Danio rerio: one gene and its partner. The protein of the gene in region 2 interacts with the protein of the main gene of each other region in a pairwise test. Links are inferred from orthologs where the notes say so. Each region holds a gene or a part of one and is shown on either strand. Other genes may lie near its edges.

Region 1 (4,092 bases), on a different chromosome or scaffold from region 2:
TCTATTAGATTTTCACTGACAGCCTAAATTTAGCCTTGTTTTAGCCAAGATGACTGTCAAATGTTCTCGCTTTATTGATTATCAGTATGCTCTTGTCTCGGATCAAATCAAATCATATTGGAGAGCTTGAACATACACACACAAAAAAAAAAGAAAAAAAAAGACTTTTGCTGCTTGTTCAAACTAAACTGTTTTTAAAACTAAAAATCTGCTATTTTACTTTTTTTTTTCCAGCAGCTGGGGTGCTGGAATTTTTTTTTTTTTAAATAACGGCCATTAAATTACTGACATTTACTGTGAAATAAAAAACAGTAAATTACAGAAATTTACCAGAAATTTAAACTTAAGGAAATTTCTGTAATTTAACGTTCATTATTTTATGGTAAATGTCTGTAATTTACCGTCTGTTTAATTTTTTTAAGGCTAATTTAACGGCACCCCAGCTGCCAGAAAAAACAGTGTACCTGAGTTTTTTACAGTGTACCTGAGTTGAAACAGCACAATACTTAAGTTTTTGGGGACAACTTAACTGTGTTATGTTCAGTCGACTTATGATTGTTAAAATGATCAAGTAAACTTAATCGATTTGTATTGGGTCAATATGAAGAAATTGTGTGAAACCCAGAATTTTTTTAAAGTGTAGGGGTATTTAGTTCAAGCTTCTGTAGTTAAAATAAATACTACAACATTTTGTAGTTAAATGTCAATAAAAATATATTTTAAAAAATCATAGTATTTAGTCTCTACTACACTTTATCTGTACTCTGCACTGTAAAAATATCTGTTAATTAACAGTTTCCGAATTTTCTGTTTATTTACGGTTGTGAATTGATGTTGAAAATTCTACTCTTCAGTTTAACAAAGTAACTTTTGTTGACATTTAAATAGTTTTAGACAAGAAGTAATATAAGTAATAAGAAGTTTAAGAAGTAATATATAGAGAACTAAGTTTGTGAAATAACAGAACCTGGGAGTTTATTACCAGGTTTTTGCAGCATAATATACAACACCAACCCAAAAGACCAAGGTTCCATAGTGCAATTCAAAAGCCTAAATAAGTGGGGTAAAAACATGAATCATAAAATACGGAAAAACTGTCAATTTACAGATATTTTTTTACAGTGTGTACTTTCTATAATCTATACTTTTACTGTACAAATATGCGTTCTTTATTATATGCCAGACTCTGTCAAACCCATGTATAATATCATGGCTGAAATAATATGAAAATATTAATTATTAAAAATGCTAATGTAATGACTGCATTTGTTATCATTTTTAAGAAGTATATGTCCTTGAAATGCAGGCCTCTGGGTTCATGCAAACATTAGCAAATCGATTCAGTCATTACTAGGAAGACAGAAAAACAAAAAAGCCATTTTACACAGAAAGCTGATTTGACTGCTGTGACAGAGGGAAGCTGTTTCTTGAATAAACACTGAGCTTTAGTCCAATTCCCTCGATAGATAGTCTCTTTGTGTTACTGCATGTGCAGAGGCTCAGTGCTTTTGCAAATGTAAGCTTTGGGAAGGATTGCGCTGACTTACTACCGAACGTAAAAGCAAAGCACATTTAAATGTTGCAATTTGTATTTTGAGAATTAATACTGATATTGCGATGACATTACGATTACAACTTTGCATTTTTAGAAATGGGGAAACTGGTGTGGGAAAGAGCTTCTGTCGTAGGCTTAACATTCAATATCAGACCTTCCTTCACTGTAAAAAAAATGCTGGGTTCCACCACAAAATCTCTTCTTGTCAAGTTAACTCAATGGCTTTTACAACTTAAGGTTGATTGAACATAAAACAATTAAGGTGTCCCAAAAAAAAAAAAAAAACATAAAGAATTGGTCTGAGTTTGAAGAAGCAGCAAAAATATTCTATGTGTGTTTGTTTTAGATATAGTAGCCAATATCTATGTACCAATCAGTATCTATCTATCTAGATAGATAGATAGATAGATAGATAGATAGATAGATAGATAGATAGATAGATAGATAGATAGATAGATAGATAGATAGATAGATAGATAGATAGATAGATAGATAGATAGGATTCATCCACTTCTTTAATAACATGTTAAAATAACATGGTTAAGTTTTATTACTTTGAATCAAATTAACCTTGTAATTTTAACTTAAATGACCTTAAATTGGTTTAAAAAAGCTTCTTTAAGCATATTAAGCTGACACATAATAAATATATTCTAATAAATTATTATTAATATTAAAACATGTTTTCATAAACGATCATATAAGATTTGTTGTGTGTACACTGTTCAATATTCCTAGAGTAGGCCTAATAGCAAATTTATAAAAACTTGGAACTATAGAAAAAATTAAGAAAAATAAATCTATTTAATAATTTGTACAAAATATAAGCAGGTTTTACTATCCATTAATTAACATAACACTAATGTGTAGGCTGATGTTTATTTGATACATAAAGTATACCTATGCAAATTCACACATTAAATCAGGAGTTTTGATATCAGCTGTAAACATGAATTGATAAAGGTTGTAGAGCTAAGGCGCACGATGATTGAACAAGCCCCCGAGTGTTACAGCGCGCACACGCTATGTGAACCAACTGTGAAACAACTTCACACATCTATTTCTGGTCTCAGCAGTTTTCAGTCTTTTGAACAAACTATGTGGAAAAAAAAATCTAATTACTTTACCTGTTACCGCTGTGTCGCTGTTTAGCAACAAAGATAAGAAACCTCCAGCAGATAAACTGCCACCTCCTTGGTGTCTCACCCTCAATTCTTCTACCGCTACCTGCATGCGCGTGCCCGTGTATAGCTGCTTTGGCACACCAACAGCCCACAAGAGGAGGGAAAATGAGCATAACTTTGACTCCGCCCTGAAGAAGGCTGGAAGTCTGCAGATCATACTTGTGTTAGTATTTGAAATATTCACTGTTAAGTGGGGTTTTTAAGTTATTATTATTATTTTTTGTTTGATTGTTTTAAATATAGCCGCTTTTTTCGTTCTATATAAATTGAACCGTGTTTTGGTGTCACGATTATAAAGTAAAAATGTTTTAAACAATTTATTACGATTTAATTACATGTATATATTAGAAAAAAAAAGTTATTAAAAAATGCTAAATTGAAACGTTTTAGAGTCCAAGTCTTAAATTTAGTCATGTTATTTTGATACTATATGTACGGTATATATAACATCATACTGTGGGTAGTCCAACATCTAACTTTTTAACACAGATGAAACGGCCATTTTTTTTGCAGTTCTGTAGCAAAGCATGCAGCAGGAAGCATGAAAAGAACTTTCTGGTAGTAAGTGGTTTCTCTCTCTCTCTCTCTCTCTCTCTCTCTCTCTCTCTCTCGCACACTAAACAAGAATACATGCCTGTATATGCATTTATCAACAACCAAAACATTTAAAATATGGAATATAAAGAATCTGCTTCTGGTTTAGGTTTAATCTTGTCCAAGTTTTAAGTCACATAATGTGCTCGTGAAATATTTTGAGCAGGATCGAGACCTCCTGATCAAACCTTTTTTTTTTTTTTTTTGCACCTGCAGTAACCAGCCCAACACCTCAAGCCACAAATAACGTTTCTACATGACAAAACAGTTTTACCATGTCGTGTTTTACCAAGTTAGTTTTTTTAATCAACATTTTAAAACCACAAAGAGAACTAAGAGTGAATTCATTTTTTTTAAATAATAAAACCTCTTGCTCTCTACAAATCATACCTTATCAGAGACATTGTATACTACTTGACAAAAGTCATGTCGCCTATCCAAGTTTTTTTTAATTCAATTTACCTTTTTTTTTTTTTTTGTATAGCACTTTTACATTGTAGATTGTGTCACTTAACAGAAATAATGTACAGTATAGAATATAAAGTCATGGTGCAGTGGAAAAAGAATTAATATTGTGAGTGACTCCCATGAGCTTGGAGGACTGCATTTATACATATCTGCAATGACTTGAATAACTTATAAATAAAGTCAACTGGAATGGCAAAGAAAGCATTCTTGCAGGACTCCCAGAATTCATCGAGATTCTTTGGATTCACTCCTTAATCTTACAAAGACATGCTCAATAATGTTCAGATTTGG
Region 2 (4,089 bases):
AGTGGCGCAGTGGGTAGCACGATCGCCTCACAGAAAGAAAGTTGAGGGTTTAAGCCTTGGCTGGGTCAGTAGGCATTTCTGTGTGGAGTTTGCATGTTCTCCCCATGTTCAGGTGGGTTTCCTCCGGGTGGTCCGGTTTCCCCCACAGTCCAAAGACATGTTGTACAGGTGAATTGGGTATGGTGTATGTGTGTGAATGAGTGTGTATAGATGATTGCCAGTACTGGGTTGCAGAGAGAAAGGAACAAACTGTGTAAAACATATGCTGGATAAGTTGGCCGTTCATTCTGCTGTGGCGACCTCAGATTAAGCCGAAAGGTAGAGGAATGAATGAATGAATAAATTGGCTGTCCTATATGGGCGTTTCCTAGTGTTGGGTTGTGGCTGGAAGGGCATCCAATGCATAAAATATATGCTGGATAAGTTGGCGGTTCATTTTGCTGTGGCAACCCCTGATGAATAAAGGGACTATGCTGAAAAGAAAATGAATGAATGAATTCAAAAGTGTGCCAATAAGGTGCAAATAAATTGTACTTAAAGATCAAGTATTTTAAGTGTACTTTATGTATGCTAAGTGAACTTGTATAATAATGTACATTACTAACAAACAATACTATTTGAAACTGAATTGACCCTTTTTTAAATAACCTAACACTATTATTTTAACTTATTAAATTAAAAATGTTACGTCGTTCAAATTGTTAAATAGACTCCTTTATTACTCCAACTTCACTTTGAAGCACAGTAAAACATAATTTTATTTATTTTGCAAGTATAATTGCACATGACGTGACCGTAACACCAAACTTCTAGATTAAATTTTGGCTATTGTTTTTGCTCTAACTTTTCTGTGTTCCTAATTAGACATTAATTTACATGCGATTTGTAACTTAGCCCCAAACTAAATGATAATTTTAAGCAATCCCATCTCTCTTGATGCTTGATTACCAACGTCTCTCTAAAGTCTAATATTGTGTACGTGTAATTTTATGTACATTTCCTAGAGTAGCCTATATAAAATAGGATGTTTTAAGTTTAAGTATAGGATTGCTGTATCAATGTATTTTTGTAAGCGCACTGTTGTATCCAAGATTTGTATTTACGTTGTTTTTAATATCCAGAGGGCGTATTGCTTTATTGAATATTTTTGTATAACCTGTAATATTAAAAATACAGTGCGAATTATGGCGCTGGTTGCCCGAGCAACCGCTGGAGCAACAGGGAAGAGGAAATCGCCGCTCCAGCTCGAGATCGTTACGGTATGGGATACATGGCATTTCCTGTCAGTGTAAATAGACGGTCGGCTGACATGGCTTCACGTACTGTCCACGGCTGCCTCTGAGTAAACAAAAGGGCATTTACCGAAGCTTTCTCCATGACAGAGCCGTTCTTCACTGCAGATGCATGCGGCGGCGGGCTAACGTGCAGATGTTAGCGAGCTAACATGGACCTTGGATCGATGCTGTACAACAGTTTTAACAATATAACATGGAGCACAACGACACTACCCTTGGACAGACTAATTAGTTCCTACAGACTGCCACAGATCGTCAAGTTGGACAGCGGTAAGATTTCTCCGAGTTGTGCTGTGTTTCTGTTGTGTGCGGCAGCTGCGCGTGGGCGGTTGCGCTCCTGTGGAATTCCAATAATTAGCCGCTCCGCGCGCTAAGCTAACGAGACCCTGCACTCAGAAGACACACACACAGTGGACACCTTCAGTCTGTAGGCTTCACCGGCATGCCTTAAACAGCCTACGCCAAGAGCGATCAGTTTAGTTGTTGTTTTGAACCCAGTGAGCACAAACAGTCAAATAAAGGGCGAAAAAGAGAGGCATGGACGTTAGCGAGCTAACTCGAATTAGCCAGAGGCCATAGAGTTAAATAACAAACTGCAGGCAGTCAACCCCCGATCTCAAAACATTTCATTTTAATCGTATAGGGGGGAAAGTTTTTGTTGCTTTCTAACCTCTGCGAACTCGAAGCTAAACTTTAGAAAGAGCTCACACAAGTTTATTTACAGTTAATAGTGAGGTGATTTATATAGACTTGATGAAAAAAAAAACATTTGTGACGCAACAAATCTAGACTTGGCGAAGTTGTTTGGTTATTATCAATGTTTTATCACGTCACTGACAAACTGCAAGAGCTGTGTATTTGAGCTGCGCTCTGATTGTGTGTGTGTGTGTGTGTGTGTGTGTGTGTGTGTGTGTGTGTGTGTGTGTGTGAAGATGGAGGAAGTCATAATGTCAGGGGAGCTAGATCATTATCATTATGGGAACTGGGGCACTATGATTACTCTGAAAAACCCTTATGATCATTATTATGAACAGAAAAGACTGAGCTTAAAGTGATCCGTGATCCATTTTCTCAACTCTAATATTAATTTATGTGTATGCTCTACTTTCAAATACTCCTGTTTTTACATTCCTGTAGCTCAAATAGTTGAACAAAAAAGTGAGCTCAATACTCACAAGGAAGGGAATGATCAAAAGTGCACATGTAAATGTGTTCAATGATATGTGAGTCACTTTGGGCACAATCATGTGCCAATTGTAAATATTGTCAGTTCAGAAATAGGGTCAAATTATACCCTTATAATGCTAGTTCCAACTGCTGATCTTAATATCCGTGTCATTGTGGACTTGGTATTTGTTAGCATATTCTTAAGTACCACTTAAGCTTTTTTTTGACAGAACTCTGTAGTATTAACGTCACCGTTCTATACTGACGTGACATTGTGTTTTGCCTCAGGAGAATCGGTGGAAGGGTTGAGAGAAAATGACTACCTCTTGATTCATTCATGCCGGCAGTGGACCACAATTACCGCCCATAGCCTAGAGGAGGGCCATTATGTCATCGGACCGAAAATCGAGATCCCTGTCCATTATGAGGGTAAGGCCACTCAGCTGTTGCAGTGCAGGATGTACTGTTTGAAGAAACAGCTTTCAATTTTTTTCAAAGCCATTTTGGTTTTTAATAAGAAGGCAAAGGACATGAATGTTAGTCTGCTAGGATAACATTTTGAATTGATTTGAAACAGAAAGGAGGAGGATTTGTTCTGCTGTGTTGTACTGCTTTTTGTTAGAGTTCATTAGCTAATTGGTCTCCATATTGACGTTATTTTGGCTAAGGAGAGGGTCAGTTGACCACTTAAGGTGAAACAAGACCTTCCTTTAAATCTATATACCACGAAAGACATAATCTTTGCAAACTGTCTGTTTTCACCTCTTTCACTATTCAGTTTCTGTACAATTTGTCATAATAGTTAATGGTTTTATTAAATAAATAAATATATTAATTACTTACATGAAACTGGTTTCCCAGACTAAGCTTAATTTCCGTATAAATGAGAGAAACAAGGTGTCTCTCATTTCAGAGGCTGCATCCTCCGATGGATGCATTCGAAGTGCACTGCGTCATCGCGACGTGACGAAGGCTGTCTCATTTCAAAAAAATTCGAAGGCTCCTTCAAACACAGCCTTAAAATGCGCCCTTCGTTTCCCAGATAATAAAGCACACAACATCATAAGATGTTAATATTAGGTTAGATTAACATCCACACAACTTCAAGCTGTAACATCATTAGACGTTGATATTTGGTTGGTTTTGAGTTGGAGTCGGACATTGACGTTGGCCTGACGTTGGGTTCTTCTTATGTCTACCCAATTTTCATTTCCAAACATGCAACATCCCCGGAAAACGTCAATCTGACACCATGTTGATGTCTTTTGCCTGCTGGGTGTTTAAGGCCATTTCGGTCATTATACAGTAATCATCCATCATCATCTTTTAAGTGACATACATCTAAACCAGGGGTGGCCAACCCTGTTCCTGGAGAGCCCCCTTCCTGCATATTTCATTTGCAACCCATATCAAACACACCTGAACCAATTGATTAAGACCTGAACACCACGTGATAATTACAGGCAGGTGTGTTTGATAAGGGCAGCAACTGAAATCTGCAGGAAGGGGGCTCTCCAGGAACAGGGTTGGCCAGCCCTGATCTAAACAATGACTGGGTCAATGCGTGTAAAGATTTTGGTCATCCTCTTGGACACTTTTAATGTTTCCAAACAGTTTGCTGCAATTA

The links. The genes of interacting proteins can lie anywhere in the genome.
Region 1: the proteins of garem (region 2) and grap2a interact in binary tests that used the Homo sapiens proteins (3 or more experiments, as listed by UniProt). The link is inferred for Danio rerio from reciprocal best matches to the Homo sapiens genes GAREM1 and GRAP2.

What each region holds. Positions count from the first base shown.
Region 1 is NC_133178.1:28,191,778-28,195,869, reverse strand, and holds the start of grap2a (GRB2-related adapter protein 2a), read right to left. Parts: upstream 2,806-4,092; 5' UTR 2,683-2,805; intron 1-2,682. UniProt on the Homo sapiens protein: Interacts with SLP-76 to regulate NF-AT activation. Binds to tyrosine-phosphorylated shc.
Region 2 is NC_133182.1:41,687,900-41,691,988, forward strand, and holds the start of garem (GRB2-associated and regulator of MAPK protein 1), read left to right. Parts: upstream 1-1,285; 5' UTR 1,286-1,444; coding exon 1,445-1,565; intron 1,566-2,750; coding exon 2,751-2,891; intron 2,892-4,089.